2 linked regions of the Rattus norvegicus genome follow. The protein of the gene in region 2 purifies or fractionates together with the protein of the main gene of each other region. This does not show direct contact. Links are inferred from orthologs where the notes say so. Each region holds a gene or a part of one and is shown on either strand. Other genes may lie near its edges. The genes, in order: Csnk2b and Phrf1.

Region 1 (12,780 bases), on a different chromosome or scaffold from region 2:
CCAGATGTCCAGGCACCCTTTGACCTTCCTGCTGAAGCCTGGCACTGAGTCTTAGGTGTGGCATATGACCAGACTGAGGGTACCTGAAGACCGGGACACTCATACGGGAACACTGTCAGGTCAGCCTGGGCAGAAGCCATCTTTAAATTCTTGAATAGGAGGGAGACAAACCAGCAGCCAGACCTGGGGCCACTACAGAAGCTGGCCATGGAGAGCAGAAGGAAGCCTAGGAGATTACAGGTATCAGGATTTGAGTGCTCGCAGATCTGGGCAGCTCAAAGGACGAGGCTCCCAGCCAGAGCAGAATCTGGGAAGGGGGATGGGACATGTCAGGGTCTAGCCTGGGGAAGAACCAGAAGTCCTGAACTGTTGAGGAACAAGTATATTTTGCGCAGGTCGGCAATGGACAAGCCCAGCCCCGGGGGCAGAATGAGAGAGTCCGGGCCCTCAGACACCTTATGAGTGTGGAGGTCAGGCTGAAACAGAGGGAGGTGCAGGGCCTGGTAGAACTGTTTTATCTGAGACTCAGAGAGGGGCACACCCAGATGGTTTCCTGGGGGCCCAGGCAGAGTGCTCTGGTGCTGGGCACTGGACCAGGAGTTGCAGTAATCATACTGGCAGCAATTAACCCTATACCAGTAGTCTGAGTAGTAGATGACGTGATTTTCTTGACACCGGAAGGAGTGGTGCTGTCCACAGCCCCGTACGTGGAAGCGAACCTTAACATCTAGAGGAGAGGGGACAGTTATAATCCTGGTTAACAGCTTCCCACGGTCCCCGAACCTAACTCTTCCCGCACTCACGCAGACCTCGTTTTATTTCGTGGAGGGGGAAAAGAAAAAAATAACCAGCTCACTTGTCTGCACACCCTCCCTCCACCCTTCAAAGATAACTCTCGTCCTTGAGTGGCCCAAACCACCCTTATGTTGAGGAGACCAAGCCACACTGCTCTACCGTCAGCCCTTTCCTGGGGCTTGGCTCACTCTGATAGATGGTGATCACCATGCATGGCGAGGAAGAGCTGATGGTGCACTTTTCTGACCCAGAAATGCAGCCTATCGAAGGGTCTTCTAAGAAGCACAGGTGGCAGGTACGGACGCTGGCGACCGGAGCTTGGCGCAGAGAACAAAGGAGACGGAACCAGGAGGTCTTTCAAGCACACCCAGGACCAGCTCTCCCCACTCTTTCCAGACCCTGGCCTTACTTACCCTTCCCCAAGGCAAAGCCCACCATGGTCAGCACATGGACAAGCACACAGGCCCTCATTATGGAATTTCAGGGGAGAGGAGCAACTCCCGTGGAGTAGCCCACAGCCCCACCTTCCTGGGATCACACTCCTTGATCTTCAGAGGCAGAATGGGTTAGACAGGCAGTCTGAGCAGAAACTGCTGTGGGTGCAGAGGTGCACTCCTGTCTGAGGCAGGGTCCTGACCAGAGGAGGAAGTTATCTATTGGCAGGAAGAATGGCCCGTCCTCACCCACACTGTCTGGTTTCCCATGTGGGCCACAGCCGAGTACCAGCTGGCTTTATCAGGTGTCTTCATCCCAGACACTGCCTTGAAAGGCCCATACCCCCACCTCAGGGACCACGGCTTAGTCTGTCTCTGGCACTGCCTGCTGTCCACCTACACAGCAGGGTTGGTCCCCATTATTCGGGGAGAGGTTGGCCAGAGACAAGCCTCCCCAACCTTTCCAGATGTGTCTCTGTGTCTCGGCTCTCCCAGCAGGGGGCACACAGACACCACTGAGCAACTGGGACTCTTTGCCTCCTCTACAGCTCTATTTGCTGAGGGGTAGAGCCCCTTTAGCAGCACAGCTGAGGGAACTTCCCATGAAGCCCCCACAGCAGACACAGCCAGAGCCCAAAGGGAGCAGGTCTTCTCCAGCCTTTGAAACCTTTCTTCTCAGTCTGGTACTTGACCCGACCCAACCTAGAACGCTGCTCTGATACACTATAAATACCTCCAGATCCATGAGGCACCAACCTGGGCTGCTTCCAACCTAGGGAGGACAGACTAGACCTTGCGGTCCCTGGAGTCCAGCAACCACCCCTTCCGTTCCTCAGCCCTTCCCTAGCAGCACGCAGCAGGAGACAAGCTCATAGCCTTTTCTTCCTTTATTTCATATCCCCACCACAGTAACAATTCCTTTAATTTAAACTAAAAACCATAGACTTCCTGAAAGGGTGGCAGCGGAGGGACGGTGGTGTCACAGGCAGAGGAGGTGGGAGGGCACTCAGCGAATCGTCTTGACTGGGCTCTTGAAGTTGCTGGCGGCTTGGAGCTGCAGCTGGTAGGCCATTGGATGGATCTTGAAACCGTAGAGCCTGGTGGGGGAGGTCAGAGAGGGAGCACGGTAAGCTCTCTGCTGGCCCTGCCAGCGGTGGTCACCCACCTCTACTCCAGCCTCCTCCTCATATCTTCTCAACAGGACAATTTCCTCGCACATGAATACATGAACTATGCCTCTTTCTCTCATTGGGGAGGAGCTTGTTTTTCAAGACAGGGGTCCCATGTCTAACAGAGCCTTGGCCTCGAACCCAGAGATCTGCCTGCCGCTGCCTCCCAGTGTGCAACCATACCCAGCTTAAACAATGTGCCCTAAACATCCACTAAAATTAAAATTCCAGGCTAGGTACTGGCCTGTCTCATTTACAGCTCGAGGTCATCTTAGCCAACAAAGACCCTGCCAGACACCCCCTGCGCCCCTGACACCTGTGCCAAACCAACCAAAGAGCCATAGTAAAAGTACAGCTGAGGGAGAGAGCTCAGCAGTTACGCTGGGTTAAACCCACAACCCACACTTGAAGTCTCACATTTAAGAAGCTACAAGATCAGTACCTGTACAGGATGGAACCCTTCCTTCCCGCATACAGTAAAAATAAGGTCCAGGATGATAAGCCATGCTACCACAACGCCCGAGGACGTGGGGGAAAAGGCTGAACACCCAAGACGGCAACAGCCACAGCCACGATTTAGACAGTCAAGTGCCACACACCTAAGAATGTTGCTAGGGAGGTAAAACTAGCATCCCTGGTTCACAGATAAGGGACACCCGAGCAATCACATGACTTCCCCATCGCTAGCAGGAAGAACCCTGACTTTGGAATGGTCAGGCCTAAAGAAAAGCCATTCTTGTTCTCAACTCTCTCCAGTCCTCGGGTGACTCTGAGCCTCTGTGACTGTCTCTGCTCCCACCTGGGCACAAACTGGTTGGCCGGCCGCTTGGGCCGGTACTCGGGATGCACCATGAAGAGCATGTGAGGGAAACCAGTGCCGAAGTATGCGCCATCCGTGTGGTGGTGCCTAGAGGACTTGGGTGTGTACACGTCCATGCACTTGGGGCAGTAGAGCTTCACCATGGCCTCTCCTGGGATGTCCGAAAGGCCTGGGAGATAGAAAGCCAGAATGCAGACCAGGAGTCCCCAACTCTCCCCAGCCTCCCACAGGACTCAGGCACTGTGTACACCAAGCCAGCTTCTTGCAGGACGGCCAGAGAGTGCCCTCCTCCCATAAACACTCACCGATGGGAAGCATCGGCTGGTTCTCACAGTATACTCGAGGACAGTAGCCAAAGTCTCCTTGCTGGTACTTTTCCAACTGACATGTATAAAACAGAAGGGAGTGGTCGGTGAGTGCGTAGGCAATCTCAACGCACTCCCGGTTCCCCCACGCCTCCCGAGTCTGACTAGAAGCCCCTTCTGTGGAGACAGGCCCTCCAACCCCTCAGGTGCTTTTCCTTCGTGGGGCCGGCTGCAGAGCACAGGGCTGTTTGCCATGTGTCCCCTGCAAACTCCTTTTTCTGGTTTCATCTCCCTTCCTGAAAACACCACCTTCAATGGGACCCTCAGTGGCCCTGCCCTGGGCATCTCCCTCTCTCCTCTTCCCCAGCCTCTGACTCATGCACCCTTCCCCTCCTGTAGAAGTAGCAGGAGCAGAGCCTCACCATTTGTGCAATGCCCCGGTTGGTGAGGATGTAGCGGGCGTGGATCAACCCATAGAGCATCTCGGCCGCCTGCTCAATCAAGTCACTCTGGTTGGGGTTGTCTTCCAGCTCTTCATCTGAAATGTGGGGCGGCCACTTGTTTAGCTTCCCTAGGTATCCCTACCTTACCTGCAGTACCTGTTCCTAAGCTCGCCCTACCCACCATCCATGCATCTGACCCAGAAACCTGGGCTCCTGACTCCTCTACAAGGTCAAGACCCTCAGCGCAGCCTCTCTGTATGCCTTAGTCTCTGCCTAAGTCCCTCTCTCCTTCCACAGTAAGTAAATGTAAACACACAACCACAGAGGTGGCCCTCGAGGGCAGCAGAGGGAAAGAGGCAGCACACCAGGCCCAAGAGGAAATCACCATTACAAAACAGCCGAGCTGCTTTCAGAGAGCATCAAGACCAGGCAAGGAATCAAAACAGTGGAGAAGTTAAGCACTGCTGTGTGCCTCTCTCCAGCATGGAAAGCTAGGGCAGGACAGCACGTGGTAAAGTCCAGTTTGGGTTATGAATGGAGGGGCTAGAGGTGGGGGAGGAAACACAGGAGCAAGCGAGAATCAAAAGGAAATTTAGAAATTCAAGAAGCAAGCCAGTCTGTGATTCCAGCACTCAGGAGGCAGAGGCAGACAGATCTCTGTGAGTTCGAGGACAGCCTGGTCTACAGACTGAGTTCTAGGACCGACAAGGCTACCCAGGAAAATCCTGTCTCCACTACCCCTCTCCCCGCAAAAAACAAAACAAAACAAAAACAAACAAACAAACAAACAAACAAACAAAAAAACCCCAACATCAACAAATTCAAGAAGCAAGCAAGCAGAGAGCAGAAGAGAACGGAAACAAAGCACCCACAAGTGCACTCTATCACCAACCCCACAGTCAGCAACAACCCAGGACACACGTTAGTTACCAGGTTCCAGGTCCAAGATCATGTCTAGGGCTTGTCGATAGTGAGGCACCTGCTCATTGAGTCCAGTAAGATTAAATTTGTCCTGGATGTAGTCTTCATCCACCTACAGGGGAGTCAAGGGGTTCAAACCAGTATAGAAAGGCCCGTCATCTTCCCACCTGGGCCCAGGAGATAGTCTTTCCTCAGCCAAGCCACCTCTCATGTTTCCTAGTCCCAGTTCTGCAGAAGTACTCAAGTTTCATAAAAACTGCAGCTCTTTTCTTTAAGGCAAACCAGATCCAGCACACAAAGACATTATTCAGCTTCTGTCCCTCATTTTACAAATTGCATGTGCCCTCTTCTTGGGGACAGCAGACTCCTGAGCTGAAGACCTCGGAATCATGAAGGTCAAGTAGTTTAGTTTCTGAAAGGTATTTATAATTTTCTACCTTAGCACACCGTGCTTTGCACGTTACACAACTTTGACATGAGAGGTTTTAACTGCCCTAATGGTCACCAGAGACACCTCTGTTAGCCATGCATATTGACAAACCCTCACAATACTAGCACTCAGGAGGCGGCCGGTAGGATTGCCAGGAGTTCAAGGCCAGTCTAGTCTGCATAGTGAGCTCGATCGAAATCTGCTCTCAAACGACGTAAAATCAAACATCGAGGGCATGTGGAGTTGGCCGACCTAAACTCACCTCACAGAAGAATTCATTACCACGGAGCCCACAGAACCAGGAAATCCAGGACACCTCCTCAGAGCTACTCATCTTTATGTCCGCTGAGAAAGAAGAGCCTAAGTAAGTGGAGACCAAGCTGTTTCTGGTCTCTTCCCTCCTCCCACACGTTCTCCACAACGACGGATGAATCCGAGTCCAGCCGGGCTTAAAGGATCCCGGCCTCTGAAGCATCTCCAAGCTCCTCTCCTTTAGCTCGGCCCCCCCTTACAGTGTGCTGAGAACGAGTTCCGCTACTTTCCAGAAAATGACAGGTCCTGATCTGTTAGTGTTACCCCCGTCCCTGGCGCTCCTCACGGCCAGGCCCCTCTCCCCTCCATGTCAGCCGCGACAGGGCCCTCGGCTCGGGCTCCCCACCACCGCAGGTGCCTGCATATTCCTGGCGCCTGTCCCAAAGCTCCCGAAGTTCATTTTACCCAACAGAATCGGCCTCTCCTGCCCTCGCAGGGTTGGCGAGGGCACCACACTTCCGTGGGACTCACGAGCGTCCCCACAAGCCGCCTCCTCTCCCCAGGCCCCCCGACCTCCTTCGGCTACCGACCCGGTCACTTCCTTCGTCGCCCCCACATCGAGGAGCACCGACCCGAGTGCCGCGCCCAGGGACCGGCGACTGGGCGCGGAGACAACCCCACACTCACCGGCCGGACGGGGACTGGGACTGGGGCGGGGAAGGGGAGCTGTGCTTCCAAGGAACGGCAGAGACCGCTACAGCGCAAAAAGCCGACCCGGCCGCGGCAGACGAAGTGGGGAGGGGGGGACTGGAAACTGGTGAGGGTTTAGGGGTTGGGGGGGAGAAGAGAGCAACGCGCAGGCGCTAAGGACCGCCCCCCTACCTCCGTGGACGCCGGGAGATGTAGTCCCGTCAGGAGAGAGAAACTGACGAAATGAAGGGAAGGCAAACTACCAATCCCAGGAGGACCCGCGCATGACTCTAGGGCCGCGAGGCCCTAGAGGAAGCCGCCCGGGGGCGGGGCGAACGGAGCGCCACCGGAAGCGGAAGCCTAGCACGGAGTCTTCTCGACCAGGAAGCCTGGGAAATATAGTCTTAGGAGGCTGGCTAGACTACGGGGCTAGCGCCCGGGGTGATTGTCATCCCTACGGTGCTCTCTCGGCGTTGCGCTTTAGTTTTTCTCCCTCCTCCCCGTGCCAGGCCAACCCACTGGACCCTGGCTCTCCTGCCAGGCCCGCGACAGAGCGCGCTCGGGCTCCGGCATGCGCAGAGGTGTGGTGAGGGACTTAGGTCGGGTGTGCTTAGGACGCGCTGAGCTGTGCATACGGCGTGAGAATCTAGACCGCCCTGCGCGCTAACCTGAGGTGGGGCCAGCCATTCTGCCGCTCGTCCCTTTGTACTTCTCCATTTCCTCAGAGCTTGATGGAGCGTCCTGCTGCGGACCCTAACTGTTCTTCAAACCCTGCTCAGAGTAGTGGTGAGGGGTGCCGTGATGTTACTTCATCTCACAGCTCCTCGGCATTCCACAGGTCTCCCCCTCTGTGTCCTCAGAGTCTTTCTGAACGCAGAGGGTGGCCTCCCAGCTCCAGGAAAGGAGCTTGGTGCTGGAGGGACCAGGGCGAGGGTGGCGAAGAGCATTGTGGGGGCGTTATGTAAAAGCAGGACCCCAACCGACAGGTTCCCCCTTGGGTCCTCGCGCTCCTGGGCACGCGATGCTTTACACGGATGCTTGGAAAGGTTCCAGCGCGGGAAACTGAACCTTGTGGGTGTTTTGTTGTTGTTGCTGGTGCGCATGCGTCATGGCTCCCTGTAGCTCTGATTGTATCAACTCTTAGAGATTATGAGAGCGCCATTTTGCGGTACGGAAATGACAGTGCAGCGTCTTTCCCCGAAAGCTTCCGGAATAATGTCACGCCTGTTTTTTATCTGGGAAAAGGAGACCCCCCCTAGATAAGATCGAGCAAGATTTAAAAGGCTGAACTGATATTTTCAAACGGTATGTGTTAGAGGACAGGAAAAATGATTTCAGAGAGAGCCTGGCATTTTTGTAGGAAGATGGGAGTTGAACGCAGGACCCCTAGACCCCTATTCTTGTGGAATATTTTTCCTGTTATCCTTTTTCTTTTCTGTGTTAGAGATAGAACCTAGAATTCTCAAATTCGGGGCGAGCATTCTACCCAGAGACATAGGTACCTACCATGCCCTCCTGAAATTATATTAACATTGTGGCAGGATCAGTTATTCCTGGGTTACATTTTATCCATGAGCCCTGGGCTCTACAGAATCCTAGGTATGAAGTCAGTGTGGGGATGGAAGGTCCATTTTAGTTGTAGGCTGCTGGGCCCCTGGAGGTGGTGCTGGTCTTCACAAGAGCTACCTGAAAGGTAGGCTTGCTTGGCACATCCTCCTGCCTTGCCTGGTCTTCATTTTCTCACTTTTCCCACAGCCATGTCCAAGCCATCCCTCATCACATTCACTCCAGCCACCGACTCCAGTGACCTCTGGAAAGATGGTCAACAGCAAGCACAGCTCGAGAAACCAGAGCCTGTCCTGGATGGGGCCGCAGCCCGGGCTTTCTATGAGGCTCTAATTGCAGAGGAGAGTGGTTCCCCTAAGCCCCGGAGAGCCGAACCGACCAGGGAGAGAAAGAGGAAGAGAAGAAGAACTACCGCAAGGGAGCCTGTAGCAGCAGGGGTCCCGAGACAAGGAAGAGCACTTGAGGATGAAGACAGGGTGACCCAGTGGATCCTGATGGCAGCCCAGAATGGGGATCTGACAGAACTCCGGAGGCTGCTGGAACCCCAAGAGGCAGGGGGAGCTGGAGGGAATATCAATGCTCGTGACGCCTTCTGGTGGACTCCCTTGATGTGTGCTGCTCGAGCGGGCCAGGGCGCTGCCGTGCGCTATCTCCTGGGCCGAGGGGCTGCCTGGGTAGGAGTCTGTGAACTGGGAGGCAGAGACGCGGCTCAGCTGGCAGAAGAAGCAGGCTTCCCTGAGGTAGCCCGCATGGTCAGAGAGAGTCGTGGGGAGACAAGGAGCCCCGAGAACCAGAACCGGTGAGGAGGGAGCCTTTGCTCATGCCCCATCTTTATTGTGTTCTTTCCTGGACACCTCCTACCAAGGGCCGCACAGCAGCTAGTAGGGGCCATTCATCTTCCAGTAGTTCAGTCTTAGAGCGGTAATAGACGTGGCCTTTGTGCGTTTGAATCTGGGTTCCATTTATTTGCAGAGCCAGCCTAAAGTCTGGGAATCTCAGTCCTTGTCTGAACTGAGGATAAGACTCTCTCTCAAAGGGCTGTTTAGATGCAGCAGGTCAGTGTGGAAAGTGTGGACGGTGCTTGCTGCTAGTATGCACTTTCTGAGTATCAGCACCACTCGCTACTCCTGAGAGCTTGAGACCTACCCAACATATTCCAAGTTGTCCCTTCTGGACAAAGGGAGAGGAGATGGCGTAGCTTGGTTAGAGCGCCTGCCTAACACTGGGAAGACCCTGGGGTCCCAAAACAAGATACAATCAAAAAAGGTGCTGCTGAAATCAGGAGAAAGGCATAAGGTGCTCTGCCTGGTGCCTGAACAACTTCCTCCCCTATAACTTATTTCTTTCTCTGCAGATCACCCCCCTCCTCCTCCCAGTTCTGTGAGGACTGTGGTGCCTACTTTGAAGACTCCAACCACCGCACATCTACTGCTCACCTGCTGTCACTGTCTAGGAGACCCCAGCCCTCCAGCCTTCCCCTTGGGGTACCCACTTCCAGTCCTGGCTTCAGACTGCTGCTGAGGGGTGGCTGGGAACCAGGAATGGGGCTAGGACCCCGGGGTGAAGGCCGTGCCAACCCTATTCCCACTGTCCTCAAGAGGGACCAGGAAGGACTGGGCTATAGATCCCCAACCCAACCCCGGGTCACACACTTTGCAGCTCGGGATACCCGGGCTGTGTCTGGGAAAGAGAGAGTTCCTCGAGTCGGCACGCTGAGTCAGAGGGAGAACAGAAGGCGAGAAGAGAAGGACCGGGCCTGGGAGCGAGATCTAAGACTATACATGAACCTCGAGTTCTGACTGACACAGACTGGCCCTCGTCTGTCACTGGCTGGGTGTGGGCCTCTGACTTGGACACTTGGGCTTCCAGACCCTTAGGCCTTGGCTACCGGGCTCTGCTTTTAGAGAAAAGGGTTGAGAGTTGGGAGATAAATAAACTTCCCTCCCTGTGTCGTGTTTACTCTCTTTTTTTTTTTTCTTTTTTTCTTTTTTTCTTTTTTTCGGAGCTGGGGATCGAACCCAGGGCCTTGCGCTTGCTAGGCAAGCACTCTACCACTGAGCTAAATCCCCAACCCTCGTGTTTACTCTCTTGAATGATATAGCAGGGAATTGGAACTAATCTGAGAGTCACTTGGAAGTCTCACCTGAGCCAAAAGGACAAGCTCTCCAGATGACAAAAGAGCCCTTAGTCCCGCTGGCCACATTCTACCCGCTTCTTTTTTTTTTTAAAGATTTATTTATTTATTATATATAAGTACACTGTAGCTGTCTTCAGACACACCAGAAGAGGGCATCAGATCTCTTTACAGATGGTTGTGAGCCACCATGTGGTTGCTGGGAATTGAACTCATGACCTCTGGAAGAGCAGTCGGGTGCTCTTAACCGCTGAGCCATCTCTCCAGCCCTCTACCCGCTTCTTGAAACCCTCTCTGAACTAGAAATTGCCCCACTTGTGCAAAACTCCCCTCTGAGTGTGAGTCTAGGCCAATCCAGTCAAGTCGGTGACTATCCTGGAATTATCTCTGTAGTGTGTCATAACCCAGGTGTGCTATGTGTTAAAAACACTGCAAGCCCTGGAACTCCGTGAGGAAGCCAGCTGTGATGAAATGTAACAGCTGGTGGGAGGGAAGTTGAAAGCCCCAGGGCTAGCTGCCACCAGAGCTCTGACCTCCCAGATGAAGATGACCCCACTCCCCTCCGCCCCCCAGACACAATCTCTCTATGTAGACCAGCCTGGCCTCAAACTCAGGTAAAACCCATGTGACTTTACCTGTATGGGGCATGTAACCTAGGGCTTCATATCTGTTTACTGAGTTGCAATTCCAAGGCTTAAGGCAGCCCTAAGATTCCCATTTCACTCCCTGATATACTTTTCTACATTTCTCTCCCATACTTGGCACCCCCCCACTCCCTTGGGATGCTTAAACGGGAGAGCTAGGAACATAAAAGTATTCAAATCCCTGTCTGGAAGGCCAAAGGGTAGCTGCTTAAGTCATGTGTGGCTTCTGTTATTTACCTTTCTGGACCAGCACTACAAGAAGTCACAGGTGAGAAATGAAGGAATGGCAGGGCTTGTAGGAAAGAACCACAGAGCAGCTAGAGTCCTAACATAAGGGAAGCAGAGGCTAAAGGATCGACTCAAAGCTAGCCTGGGCTATATATGTCCAAGCCTTTACTGAGCTACATATATAGGGAACCTGCCCTTAAAAGAACGAACAAACAAAGCCGGGCGGTGGTGGAGCGCGCCTTTAGTCTCAAGGAGGTAAGAGGCAGGCAGATCTCTGAGTTGGATGCCAACCTGGTCTACAGAGCTAATTCCAGGATAGCCAAGGTTACACTGAAAAACAAAACAAAAAATCCCAAACCAAGGGCTGGAGTACCTAACCAGTGTCAGCGGTGGGGGGCTCTGGGAGGTGAACAGCAGATCCCGGGTTCATACTCAGGGTCTGGCCTTAGGTGGTCCTCTCTCTACGCCTGCGCTAGTGAATCGCGGGGGCTTTTGGGGAGGTCGCTCTGTCGGGTCCGCCTCTCTGGTTGCGGAGCTCCGCCTCCGCTGGTCCCTCCCGACCCAGTACAGCTGCTTCCGGGCTCTCACGACTCCGGGAGGCCGCTCCCCGGACGCTGGGCCCTACAGCTACTCCCTGCGCGTAGCACCCCGACGCCTGGGTCTCCCAGGTAGGCCTGCACTGTGTCTTGCGACTGCGATCTCCAAGGACATCTCTGTTCTGACCTTGCGGAGGCCGCGTCTCAGCTGCGCCCTCACGGGACAGTAGGGCCACTTTGTGGAACGATAGATTCCTAAGTTAAGGGGATGCATGTAACTGACTGGAGTTCGCTGGACACTTCCATCCCGATGTCTTCCTCTCAACAGACACTTCCTCCTGTTCCTTGAGCTCCCGCGGTTTACGGTTCCTCAAATCCAGGACCGAAGGACCCCTGGGCCACCACTTCTTTCCTTCTTCAATGGAGCACCACCTCTCCCCTTTCTGGGGCACGTTGGGATGTGGTCTTGGTGAGTGAAACTTGGGGTACTGACTGCTGGGAAGGAAATCTGAAAGCACAGAACACTGTGGGGGTGACCCTGGCCTTATTGGGCCCTAGAAGTCTTGTTAAGTGTGTGGGGTGGCAAATGGATTTCTTTTCCCCTAGACTGACACGGAAGCTGACCATTTACCACGCTTGGGGCTGTGTGAGTCCTTTCTGAATTCAGAGTAGGACGACATCACCAAGCAGATACCTCTTCTGAACCGGAACTGATTCTGGCTTCGGGGGAGATCCTGAGAGTCTTAAGCAGAGTCAGGAAGCGGTCACAGATTTGGGGAGCTCATTGCACACAGTTCCTCAATTATGTTCCTTCGACGGCTTGGTGGCTGGCTGCCGCGACCTTGGGGTCGAAAGAAATCAACAAAGACTGACTTGCCTGCCCCAGAACCCAGATGGGTGGACAGCTCCCCGGAGAACTCAGGGAGTGACTGGGACAGTGCTCCAGAGACCATGGGAGATGTGGGACCTCTGAAGACCAAGGATTCAGGAACACGGAGGCCCCCCCAGGCTGCTCCAGAGTCTAGCAGGGACACCAGAGTGTATCAGCTGGGGAGTAAAAGAATGGATTCCCTCAAGAAGGACAAGGCTGCTTCTGCCATTCAAGAGTCTGCAAGACTGGAGACTGGAGGAGCCGTTCCCAAACTGGACTTGGATCCTGTGGATTCAGGTGGCATGAAGAACCTTGGAGTGTCCCCCCAAGGGAGGTTAGGCACCACTGGGCCAGAAGCCCTACTGGAGAAACCTGGTCGACGTCAGAAGCTGCTACGGTGGCTCCGGGGGGAACCAGGGGCTCCCTCACATTACCTGCAGGACCCAGAGGAGTATCTGCAGATCTCTACCAACTTGACCCTGCACCTGCTGGAGCTGCTTGCCTCAGCCTTGCTGGCTCTGTGCTCGAGGCCACTCCGAGCC
Region 2 (12,077 bases):
GTTCTATAAGGAAGCAGACTGAAGGCTGGGCATGGTAGCACGTGTGTTTAGGTCCAGTACTCTGGAGGCAGAGGCAGGGAGATCTATAAATCTGAGTTCCAGGATAACCAGGGCTGAGAAACTCTATTTCTAAAAAAACAAAAACAAAAATAGAAACAGAAAGAATGAACAAATGAACGAACGAAAGGAAGAAAGAAAGGAGTGAGCGAGCAGGCTGAGCCAGCCATAAGGAGCAAGTCAGTAGGCAAGCAACCCTCTACAGCCTCAATAGCATTTCCATCAGTTCCTGCCTCCAGGTTCCGACCTTGTTTCAGTTCCTATCCTGATTTCCTTCAATAATGTATTCATTATAGTAATATATATAAGTATAAGCCAAATAAGCCTTTTGCTCCTCAACTTGCTCTTTGGTCACAGTGTTTTGTTGCAGCAAAAAACCCTAAGACATAGGTGACCTTCATGTTGTCTCTACGGCAAGGCAAGTAACTAGAAAAGTAAAAGCAAGAACTGCACCAGGGGCCAGGAGTGGTGGTGCAGGCTTTTAATCACAGCACTTGGGCACTTGGGCGGCAGAGGCAGGTGGATCTCTGAGAGTGTGAAGTCAGTCTGGTCTACAGTAAGTTCAGAACAGCCAGGGCTACACAGAGACCCTGTCTCTAAAAACAAACAAGTAAGCAACAAACATGATGACAAGCCTGTGGTGTGAGAATACATCATGGAACTGAGTCACCAGCGCTGTGAGTGCCAGGCACAGGCGCGGAGAGCACATGAGGACTTTAAAGCACAAGCTCAACAACACTCCTGCCATGTAGCTCAGTGGCACAGAGCTTGCTCAGCCTGTTAGAGGTCCTAGGTTCAATCACCAGCAAAAGGATCAGAAGGCAAAGAACAAGAGAACTGAAATTTGTTTTGTTGTTTTATTGGTGTTGTTTGTCTGTCTGTCTGTCTATTTAGTTTTCAAGACATGGTTTCTCTGTGTGTAGCCCTGGCTGTCCCAGAACTCTGTAGACTGGGCTGGCCTTGAATTCACACAGATCTGCCGATGTCTCTGCTTCCTAAATGCTGGCATTAAAGGTGTGTGCCACCACCTTTTAAGATCTAACTATGTTTTCTTGGCTGTCCTCAAACAGAGAGAGAGATCCACCCACCTCTACCTCCCAGTTCTGAGAATAAAGATGTACACAACCATGGCAAGGCTGATCTTTTGATGCACAGTAAGAATTTGTCTCAAAAAAACACAAGGGATACATGGGGAGTGGTAGCACATGCCTTTAATTCCTGCATTCTTGAACTCTTGGGAGTTCAAGGCCAGTGTGGTCTACACAGTGAGACCCTCTCTCAAACAAAACAATCAGGGTTGAGGATTTAGCTCAGTGGTAGAGCGCTTGCCTAGCAAGCGCCAAGGCCCTGGGTTCGGCCCCCAGCTCCGGAAAAAAAAAAAAAAAAAAAAAGAAACTGTTTGGGCTGGAGAGATGGCTCAGTGGTTAAGAGCACTGACTGTTCTTCCAGAGGTCCTGAGTTCAAATCCCAGCAACCACACGGTGGCTCACAACCATCTGTAATGAGATCTGGTGCCCTCTTCTGGACTGCAGTCACATATGCAGGCAGAATGCTGTACATAAAATAAATAAATAAATCTTTAAAAAAAAAAAAAAAAAAAAAAAAAACAAAAAACAATCAGGGCTCAAGTTGTAGCACTTGGTTGTATAGCTTGCTTTAGCATGCACAAGGCCTAGAATTTAATCCATGGAAAGGAAGAAAAAAAAAGAAAGGAGGTGGGCGGTTTGGGGGGACAGATAGGAAAAGCAGAGAAAAAAAAGGAGTAATGAAAGAAGAGAAAGAGAGAGGACAATAAATAATAAGCAAAAACACCTTTCATTCCAGTCCCAACAGTACTTTTCCAAACTTCAGTTAGATGGCCCTTTGTCCCACCCTACTGCAACCTCCCACATGCCAAGAGTGCAGTTCATAAGGAGACAGGCCAAAGAGAAGCTCTGTAGTAAGAAGGTGTGAGGAAACAGAAGCCCAGAAACCCCTAACATCTCCATGACTCCTACTCTATGCCCCAGTAAATATGGATAGTCCTAGCCCTAGGCTTGGTCAGGGCCGAAAAGGATGCCTGAGTCACTCCTTTTTAAGCCTAATTGAACTGACAACCACCTCACAAGAAAAAAAGCAAGTCATGCTCTTCCTACAAGAATACAAGCAGGGGTAGGCAGTATCTACACTTACCTTCTTTAAGATTTTACCATTAAATTGGGCTCGAATACAAATACATTTAAATATTGTTCGATCAACTGGACAGGAATTAGCATTCTGTAAGAAATAAAGATTGGATTAGAATCCTGCATAATCCCTCATTACTCATCAATTACTTATTACGATCATTATGACTCTCTTCAAAATGAAGAATTCACTTAACAAGCAACAGTTTTAAGATGGAGGTGGTAGCACCTGGCCATTATCCCAGCATTTGGGAGGCCAAGGCAGGAGAACTATGAATATGAGGCCAGCCTGATCTACAGATTATCTGAAACAACAAATTAGAAAGTTGTTTTTATTAGCCAGGTGGTTGTAGTGCATGCCTTTAATCCCAGTGCTTGGGAGGCAGGCAGCAGGAGGCACAGGCAAGCAATCTCTTCGAGTTTAAGGCTAGTCAGGGATACACACAGAGAAACCCTGTCCTGAAAAAACAAAAATAATAATAATTCCTTTTACACTGAAATCTGTACCGATCGCCTTGGTCTTGGCTGAAGTCCTATGCTAAGATGCTAGAACTGGATGGTGAGAACTTGAGGTCACCATGCTACTGAGGGAGAATGGTCAACAAGCGGGATGCATGCTCCCATACAGGTGTCGTGTAGGTGAGAAGGAAAAGGAGAGCAGGGAAGGGAAACACTGAGTAACCAGCATTTCAGTCTATTTGCTGCTATCCCAGATCTTCTCGTAGGCCTTTGTGAACTGCTCACGGGACCTTGAACATGGTCTCAGTGTGTATGATAATCAGATGTAGGCTACAAAGATTTTTTTCCTTGTCTATTCAGCTCAAGTTGCCTTTCCTGAAATATACCATACAATAAAACATACCTTTGTTAGCTGTGTACTCCACTACATTCTGATAAATGTATAAACTGAGGGCCACCCAGGTCTGCCACCTCTCTTTCATGTCCTGCCACTACAGTTATGTGAGAACCAAGGCACTGTATCTTCCCTGGTCTGACTGGCTTAATATTAATTTCTCTCTCTCCCTCCCTTTCTTTTTGGTGGAAGAGTTTGAGACAGGGTGTCATTCTGTAGCCCAGACTAGCCTAGAACTTACTAGGTAACCAAAGCTAGCATCACACCCATGGCAATCTTCCTAAATGCTAGGAATTATAGCTGTGCACCACATGTCCCACAAGGTGAGGTGGCAGGGAAGGCTATGCGTGCCACAGCAGATGTGAAGAGACTAGAAGACAATGTGCTTTCCCTGCTGGCCAGCCCGACTGACTGACTGTGAGAGGTGAGGTCAGAGGACCGCTTGTTGAAGGTAGTGCTCGCCTACCATGTGGCCCCTAGAGAGCAAACACAGGCTGTCATGCTTGATGCAAGATCCTTTGCTGCTGGACCAGCTCCTTGACCCTGATCTTATTTTTTTAATTTATGTACATTAGTGTTTTGCCTACTTATATGTCTATGTGAAGGTGTCAGATCCCTGGAGCTGGAGTTATACAGTTGTAAGCAACTACGTGGGCACTGGGAACTGAACTCAGGTCCTCTGAAAGATCAGCCAGTGCTCTTAATTGCTGAGCTATCTCTCCAGTGCCTGACTGATTATATTTCATTTATTTATCTACCCCCATCCTTGGTTTTTTGAAGAGGTTTCTCTGTGTGGTCCTGGCCATCCTGGAGCTGGCTCTGTAGACCAGGCTGGTTCAAACTCAGAGATCTGCTTGCCTTTGCCTCCCAAGTACTGGGATTAAAGGTGTCTATTACCACCACCCATCTCCCTGACTCATTTTTTTTTTAAGTCTAAATTTTTCACCTTCATTAACCCAGTACCTAGCTATCTCACAAAATCCAACATCTGAACTGATATGTAAGATCTTTACTAATAAGCTTATTTTCAAATGCCTTCTTACCAATAAACATCATAGGGGTTGGGGATTTAGCTCAGTGGTAGAGCACTTGCCTAGCAAGCGCAAGGCCCTGGGTTCGGTCCCCAACTCCGAAAAAAAAAAAAAAAACATCATAAGCACAGCAAACAGACTGACTTGCTTTTCAACTAATTAATTGAGACAGGTTCTAGCTATGTAGCCCTGGTTGGCCTAGAACTTGTTATATAGACCAGGCTGATCTTGAACTCAGACCCACTACTTGTCTTTCCCTCCTAAATGCTGGGATTATAGGCATGTGTCATCACATCCAACCTCTTGCTGTTCAATTTAAAGAATGAAATAACTTAATCTGAATCTAATCAGTGAGACTCACAAGAGAAAAAAGAAGTTTGACACAATAAACTACGCTGACAGAACTGTGGGCACAAGAAAGGCATTTGCCATCTGCATACCACTTACAGTGAACCACAGAGACGCTTTGAAGCTACTTGGGGAGAAGGAATGGAGTATCAGAGGCATAACCCTGATAACATTGCTGGGATCTGTCACCACACTACCAGCATCATTGGGGACAGTCAGAAAAGCAGGCAATAAAACCTCTTATTTGACTTTTTTTCTCTTAAGGAAGGGGTTGGCTCAATGGATAAGAGGATATGTTATGCAAGCACAAGAATCCAAGCTCAGATCTCAACGGCCACATAAAAACCTGGGTAAGATTATACCTGCATCTCTTAATGCTAATACCACAGAGAATGAGAGAACTGCTTGGGTTTACCGGCTGCCAATCTAGCTGTAGCTTCAGTAAAAGATCCCGTCTCAAAGGAATAATGTGGAAACTGACAGAGCAGGATACCCGACATCCTTTAGCCTCTACATGTAAACACAGGCACACACCACATACCTGTACACACATCATCTTGCCATCAGACTGAGTAATCACACTTATACCATTTCAGTATCTACAGAGGCCGTTTCACACTTACTATGTGAAGTTCTCTCAGAATTTATGTCCTGATCCTCAGAAAAGCCAGAGCCATCCTCTCTGAAGCCCTGTCACCCACAGACACATCCCCACAGTGCTGAGCAAATTGGGCTCAGCCCTGTGTTCAGCTTTGCTGCAGAGAAGGCCTAGTTACAAAGGGTAAGAGTAGCCCAGTAAAAAGCCAACTCACCCTGGACCATTCAATGATGCAGTCCAGGCAGAAATAATGGGCACAGGTCTCTGGGGTGCCCACAGCCTGGTCTCTAAATGCATTGAGGCAAATGGGGCAGCTCTCTGCATCGTCATCAGAATTGGGTGTACTGCTAGCTTCAAGCTTCCTTTGAGTCTCCACTGCTGCTGTTGGCACTTCTATTCCATCTTCTGAATCTTCAGAACCTTGGGTAAATGGAAATGTTATGCTTTTAGTAACTATAGAAACAAGTGCGTGCTCAAGGACTGGCCTCAAGCAGAGCCAAGTACACTCAGGACACTTGCCTCTAGCCAGAATCCCAGCTCCTCTTGAAATATGCCTTCCTACCTACCCGCAAAGGCATACTCACACAATACCCATTCTGAGGAACCAAGCCCCTTACCTGAAGCCTCTCTGTCCATAGCTGCCCAGAGCTAAGAGGACAGGGATGCTTGGCTAAGTGACTACACTAGCTCCTCTCACCTGAGTCTGTGAGATAACATCCGAGAAGTTAGGGTTCAAGAGCTACCACAGGCTGCAGAGAAGATGGAACTAACAACTAAACTACCATGGGTTAGGGATTCAGCTCCATGATGGGGAGCACTTACTTAGAAGTCTAAAGCCCCAGGTTCAGTCTTCAGCTCTGAGGGCGTGGAGGATACACAGGACAAAATAATGATTACACCCCTAAGAATGCCCACTTAGGACAACCCTTGCATAGCTGCACAAGTCTTTCAACACAATGACGACAAATATATGCTATTAGATAAGACCTTCTTCTTGGGCATCTCTTCCTTCCTAGTGGAATACAGACAGAAGATCCTAACTGGATTAGTGACTATAAAAGATCTGGTCAATCTCGGCAGTATGAAGCAGGGGCTGGGTCAGAAGGAAAACATGAAGATGCATTTAGCAAACAAGCTCCTATGAACTACTAAACACCTAACACAGGGACCAGAAAAGCAGATCGTACTGGGGCTCAGAATTTGATTCTTTGTGAGTAGGACTAACAAAGGTGCTAGGCTGCCCTTCTCCAGAGCCTTGCTGCCAACCCATAAAGCGGAACTATCCCTGGTTGATCAATCCTACCACATAAGCTCTTTTTAAAGGATTTTTAAAAACCAAACCAAACCAATCAACCACCAACCAACCAACCAACCAACCAACCAACCAACCAACCATCTGTTTAATTATTGGGCAGAAGAGGGTAAACCATGGAAACTGTTTCTCTCTTTTACCATACGAATTTCAGGAACTGAGCTCAGGCTGTCAGGCTTGGTGGCAAACACCGTCATTCACTTGGCAATCGTGCCAGCTCCTTGTGTTTTTTTTTTTTGTTTGTTTTTGTTTGTTTTGTTTTGTTTTGAGACAAGGTTTCACGTAGTCCAAGCTGGCTACGTAGATGAAGATGACCCTGAACTCCCTGATCCTTCTGCCTCTACACAGGTGAGCACTTGCAAAGCACAGGGGCTGCTCGTGCTGGCACTGAAGGACACAAACAGCTATACCCACTTCAAAGGGAGTGTGATAACATAGTAGCTAAGAATGGCTGTTAACAATCGGCTAGAAAACGGAGCTTCCATAGCAGAATGACAACTAACTCTAGCTTTCCCCTGCGAGCTGAGGCTCATGGTAGCAGAGTCAAAGAGAAGAGATGGATCTGCTTCTCCCCTGCAATCTGAAGGTAGGGACCTGGCCATCTTGTTTTGCCTAATTTCCATAGTGCCTACAGAGCAATGCGCTGGATGCTGAGAACAGCCACACCTGACTTGAAGGTAGAAAAAAGGACCCCAGCAGTTTCCCTCACTGAACTCTCATTTGGCTTGCCAAATAATGTCCTTAAAATATGCTGTGGCTGAAAGAGAATGACAGCTTTTTTTTTTGGAGCTGGGGACTGAACCCAGGGCCTTGCGCTTGCTAGGCAAGCGCTCTACCACTGAGCCAAATCCCCAACCCCAAGAATGACAGCTCTTTGTATTTGAATATTGTTCCTCAGTGGGTGAAATTGTGTGGGAAGGATTAGGAGGTGTGGCCTCATTGGAAGAGGTATGTCACTGAGAGAGAACTTTTGAAGTTTCAAAACACCATTACCCAGTTGGTGTCTCTGCCTCATAGTTGTATTTCCAGATGTGAGCTCTCAGCTACTGCTCCAGTGACAGACTGCCTGCCTACTGCTCCCCACCTTGATGGTCACAAACTCTGACCCTCTGAACTGAAGCCTCAAATAAACTCTTCTATAAATTGCCTGGGTCATGGTGTCTCATCACAGAAACAGAAGTAACTGAGACAATACCCACGGGAGGTGCTAACAAGCGCTAGTACCAACAGGGCAGTAGGTGGCTAGCCTAGAGACCAGGTGTATCTAAAGGCAGAGTCTCCAAGAACACCAGGCCTCAAATTGTGTCCATTCTGAAAGGAGACAGGATTGATGAGCAGAATAGAGAACTGCAGAGGAACTGTGGAAGGCTCTAAACAATCTATGAATGCAATAATAACGGACACTGAGTAGAGACCTGGGTGCTGAGCATTAGTTCTCAGAGTAGGATATTAAGAGATTAATACTCTACACATTGGGGAACACAGGAACACACCAGCAGCAGCAAAAGCAGGCACACCTTAGTAGCAGGATATAGGGTGGGAAAACCAAAGAGTGAAAAGACGTTTCCTATAAGAAGGAACCCAGGACCCTTGAGTGATTCTCCTTGGTATCTACTGAACCAGATGCTGGCTACTCGCTCATGCCTTAAGACACTGGCTCGAGGGCTGGAAAGTTGGCTCAGCAGTCAGAGGTCCTGCATTCAATTCCCAGCAACCACATGGTGGCTCATAACCATCTGTAAGGGGATCTGATGCCCTCTTCTGGTGCGTCTGAGGACAGACAGTGACAGTGTACTCACATGCATAAAATAAATAAATCTTTAAAAAAAAAAGTATTTATTTATTATGTATATAGCATTCTGCCTACATATATGCCTACAAGTCAGAATAGAGCACTAGGTTTCATGAAGGAGTAGAACTGACTGTTTATGAACCACCAACTCAGGACCTTGGAAAGAGTAGACAGTGCTCTTAACATCCAAGCCACCGCCCTGGGTTCGGTCCCCAGCTCCGAAGGAAAAAAAACCAAAAAACAAAAAAAAAAAACATCCAAGCCATCTCTCTAGTCTAGATTGCCAGGAATTTGAGGTTTGGTTATGGAGTGAATTCAAGGCTAGCTAGCTTTGGAAAACTGGGCACTCATTATCAATACAAGGTTACTTAACTCACAGTCAGTTCTACTCCTTCATGATGAGTACTGTCCCAATGATAAGGGAAGAGTCACTTCTCTAGAACATTCTCATCAACAACCAAAGGGTATAATGAAATTTATGTATAAGTAGGTGCTTTGAGCCTGCCACCAGAAGGAGACCTGAAGTTAATAGAAGCCTCAGTCCAATTTTAATGTCAATTTAATACAAGCTAGACTCATTTGGGAAGAAAGAACTTCAATTGAGAAAATGCCTGCACCAGACAGTTTCGTGGATAAGCCTGTAGAGCATTTTCAGTTATTATTGCATTGTGGAAGGGCTAGGCTCACTGTCAGCAGTGACGCCCTGGGCTGGATGTGGAGGGTGCTCTAAGAAAATAGACTGAACAAATCGAAGGAGCAAGCCGGTATGCAACACTCCTTCATGTCCTTTGCATCACTTCCTGCCTTGAGAATTCTAAGCTTCTACCTTAGACAATGGACCACAAGCGGGGAGATGAAATAAACTCTTTCCTCCCCAAGTTGCTTGTGGTCATGTTTTATCACATCAACAGAAACCCTAAGACAGGTAAGAAAGGTAGCAATAGGTGGGTGGGGCCAAGACAATACAAAGAACCCTCATAGACTGCCCATAGGCTAGGGTGGCCATGAAGGTTTTCCAGAGTAGAGGTATGTCATTCAAGCACTATTCTTTGCATGAGTTCCAAGTTATAAACTTTCTCCAGGGGGTTGGGGATTTAGCTCAGTGGTAGAGCGCTTGCCTAGGAAGCGCAAGGCCCTGAGTTCGGTCCCCAGCTCCAAAAATAAATAAATAAATAAATAAATAAATAAATAAATAAATAAATAAACAAACTTTCTCTAGTGCACAGAAGCCAGGACTTTAATAATACCCACAATGAGCTGGTTGAATAAGCAAAGAACAAGCTATAAGATAGGACTAACAACCTTTGTCCTAAAAGAGGTCCCATGCCACATGCCTCGTAAGTAAGGTCTGCTAAGCTGTCTTGCACCTGGGTGATGCTAGCAGTTGGCCCTTGTGAAATGAAGAGAGGCCACCAAGAATCCCTGCTCATCCTCTTAGAGCTCCTGTCTCCCCATTCTCAAATGGCTTATGTTGCTCAATGTTCTTAAGACGTTTTATTTTCTCTTAGAAAGAGATACCCACAGAATTGTATCACTAAATTAACTTTAAAAACTAAAAACTCCAGCTGAAGTCAGTTGTTGTTCCGTGGCAGGTGACAGCTAGCGCGCTCAGCTGTGGATGTTTTAACACAGGCTGTCTCCTCACTAAGAGAGTCAAGGTAACTGGCTCAAATGCCTACAATCTTACCAGATCTATCTTCTGGGTCTTCCTCTTCAGACAGCCCCTCTGTTTCCTCCCCATCTGTGTCATCATCCTGCTCACTGCCTGTATCATCTTCAGAGTCTTCACTGTGGCCATTGCTGCTTTCTTCTAGATCACAAGATGAAAAGCACAGACCCCAAAGGGCAGCGTCAAAGCAGAGAGCCAAAACCACTCTAGAATATACAGGTATACTACCAAGCTACCATGGTGTGTGCGTGCGTGTGTGTGTGGTTAGACATAAAATGGGGGAAACGAGTCATCTTACTCTGTATTTATGTTGCTAGCATTAAAAATAAGACAAAGTGGCTTGAAGTACAGCTCAGCTAGTAGAACCTGCATTCCTCGCATGATCAAGCCCTGGGTTCATATCCCCAGCACCATACAAAGCTAGGTATAGTGGTGAACATCTATAATCCCACCATTTTGAGAGGTGGAGGCAAAAGGATCAGATGCATCCTCTGCTGCACTGCAAGTTACAAAGCCATCCTGGGATACAGGAAATCCAGTCAAAAACAAAAACAAGTAAATGAAAACCATGCAATCTCTGCAGTCTGCAAGTTTAGTCAAGAGGTCTGCAGTTAGAAGGCAGCCTATGCCACAAAGACCCTGTTCCAAAACCTAGAACCCAACAGTAGAGTCTTACTAAGTATGCACAAGGCTTTCGGTTCCATTCATAATACTCCCTCCTCACAAAAAGACCAAACACAGTGACATTTGATTGTAGACTTAGCTACCAGCAATACCGCAATTTGAGAAGTTGAATTGGGCTGACCACGAGTCAAGAAGTTCAAGAATAGTCTGAACCACACAGTGAGACACCATCTCAAACACAAGACAAAAAAAGCAAAACAAAAAGAATGAATGTGGAGTTGGGGATTTAGCTCAGTGGTAGAGCGCTTGCCTAGCAAGCACAAGGCCCTGGGTTCGGTTCCCAGCTCTGAAAAAAAAGAAAGAAAAAAAAAGGAAAAAAAAAAAGAATGAATGTACTATACTTCTATAACTTAAGTTTTTTAAGGTTGAAAGTGAAAGCTGACATTTAAGCTTCCAAGAGGAGCTAGTAACCTGGAGAAAGTACCAAGTGCTATAAGTGCTATTCCTTTGCAAACATCCTGCCAGCAGTGGGATGGGGGTAGGAGTGGGGGTGCTTACCAGCATCACTGGCTAGTTCTGAGGAGCCAACTTGTGGAGGTCCATCTGGCCCAGGGCTGTGAGCCACAAGCTCATCCAAATTGTCATCATCCATGGCTGCACATTGGAGTTCACCTCTGAAAGAGATCAGAACCAAATAACTCCAAACTCCCCTGGCTACAGAGAGCCTCCTGAAAGGTGCCATTCCCAAAAGGGAACCTCCCTTGAGACCTAAGCACTGCCACACATGTAGAATTTGAACTGTGAGACACAATATACAGGACCCTAGCCATAAAGACATGTACAAATACAAAATATAAAATATATCTTCATAAGAGACAGTGACTGGTTTTCAGAACCATATGCAAAGTAGAATCTGAATGCCTGATTTTTCAGGCACTATTTTCCCCAAGTATTCCTGAAGAGTCCTAATATCAAACATGAACCAAGCAGACACCTGAGCTGAAACAAAGCAGCACTCTTCACCTGAGAGCCAGTCATCACAAGGACTCCAATGCTCAGTTGCCCACTTGGCTGTCGCTAAGTGGGCATGTCACTCTTGGCCAATGCTGGCCCATTAGCCTCTGCTTGCCTGGCTACCATCAGATTATAAACTGCAGATAAAGTTCCTGGGGACTATGGCATTCCTGTGGCCCAAGCTGAAAAGCAGAAGATGGTGGGCTGTCCCTCCCTCTCCTGCTGTGGGACACCTGCTAGTCCTCATTCGTAAGTCACTGTAAAAGCAATTGGGAATACCTGTATAAAAGACTTGTTGGCCAGCCTAGTCTACAGAGCAAGTGCCAGGACAGCCAGGGCTACACAAAGAAACCCCACCTCAAAAATGAAAGGGGGGGGGAGGAGGAAGTAAAGGAGGAAGAAGAGGAAGAAGAGGAGGAGGAAGAAGAGGAGGAGGGGGAGGAGGAGGAGGAGGAGGAGGAGGAGGAGGAGGAGAAAAGAGATAGGAGAGGAGAGAAGAGAGGAGAAGAGAGGAAGGTCATAAATGTCACTGGACATGACCTTCCTTCTGTACCAAGCTCTCAGACTCTGGTTCCCCAAATAAGAACCTATTCGTATACATAGTCTTTACTCCT

The links.
Region 1: the proteins of Phrf1 (region 2) and Csnk2b purify together in Homo sapiens (affinity purification with mass spectrometry; 3 studies listed by BioGRID and IntAct, with this or other methods). This does not show direct contact. The link is inferred for Rattus norvegicus from reciprocal best matches to the Homo sapiens genes PHRF1 and CSNK2B.

What each region holds. Positions count from the first base shown.
Region 1 is NC_086038.1:3,699,318-3,712,097, reverse strand, and holds Csnk2b (casein kinase II subunit beta), read right to left. Parts: upstream 6,376-12,780; 5' UTR 6,257-6,375; intron 5,663-6,256; coding exon of another isoform or gene 5,652-5,662; coding exon 5,580-5,651; intron 5,000-5,579; coding exon 4,897-4,999; intron 4,062-4,896; coding exon 3,946-4,061; intron 3,600-3,945; coding exon 3,524-3,599; intron 3,388-3,523; coding exon 3,198-3,387; intron 2,327-3,197; coding exon 2,236-2,326; 3' UTR 2,099-2,235; downstream 1-2,098. Other genes in the region: Ly6g5b (lymphocyte antigen 6 complex locus protein G5b precursor), read right to left, coding at 330-727, 984-1,112, 1,209-1,266; Gpank1 (G patch domain and ankyrin repeat-containing protein 1), read left to right, coding at 7,294-7,330, 8,015-8,624, 9,180-9,624; G4 (uncharacterized protein C6orf47 homolog), read left to right, coding at 12,172-12,780. UniProt on the Homo sapiens protein: Regulatory subunit of casein kinase II/CK2.
Region 2 is NC_086019.1:205,765,143-205,777,219, reverse strand, and holds part of Phrf1 (PHD and RING finger domain-containing protein 1), read right to left. Parts: intron 11,124-12,077; 5' UTR 11,102-11,123; coding exon 11,008-11,101; intron 9,967-11,007; coding exon 9,844-9,966; intron 5,473-9,843; coding exon 5,267-5,472; intron 2,314-5,266; coding exon 2,230-2,313; intron 1-2,229.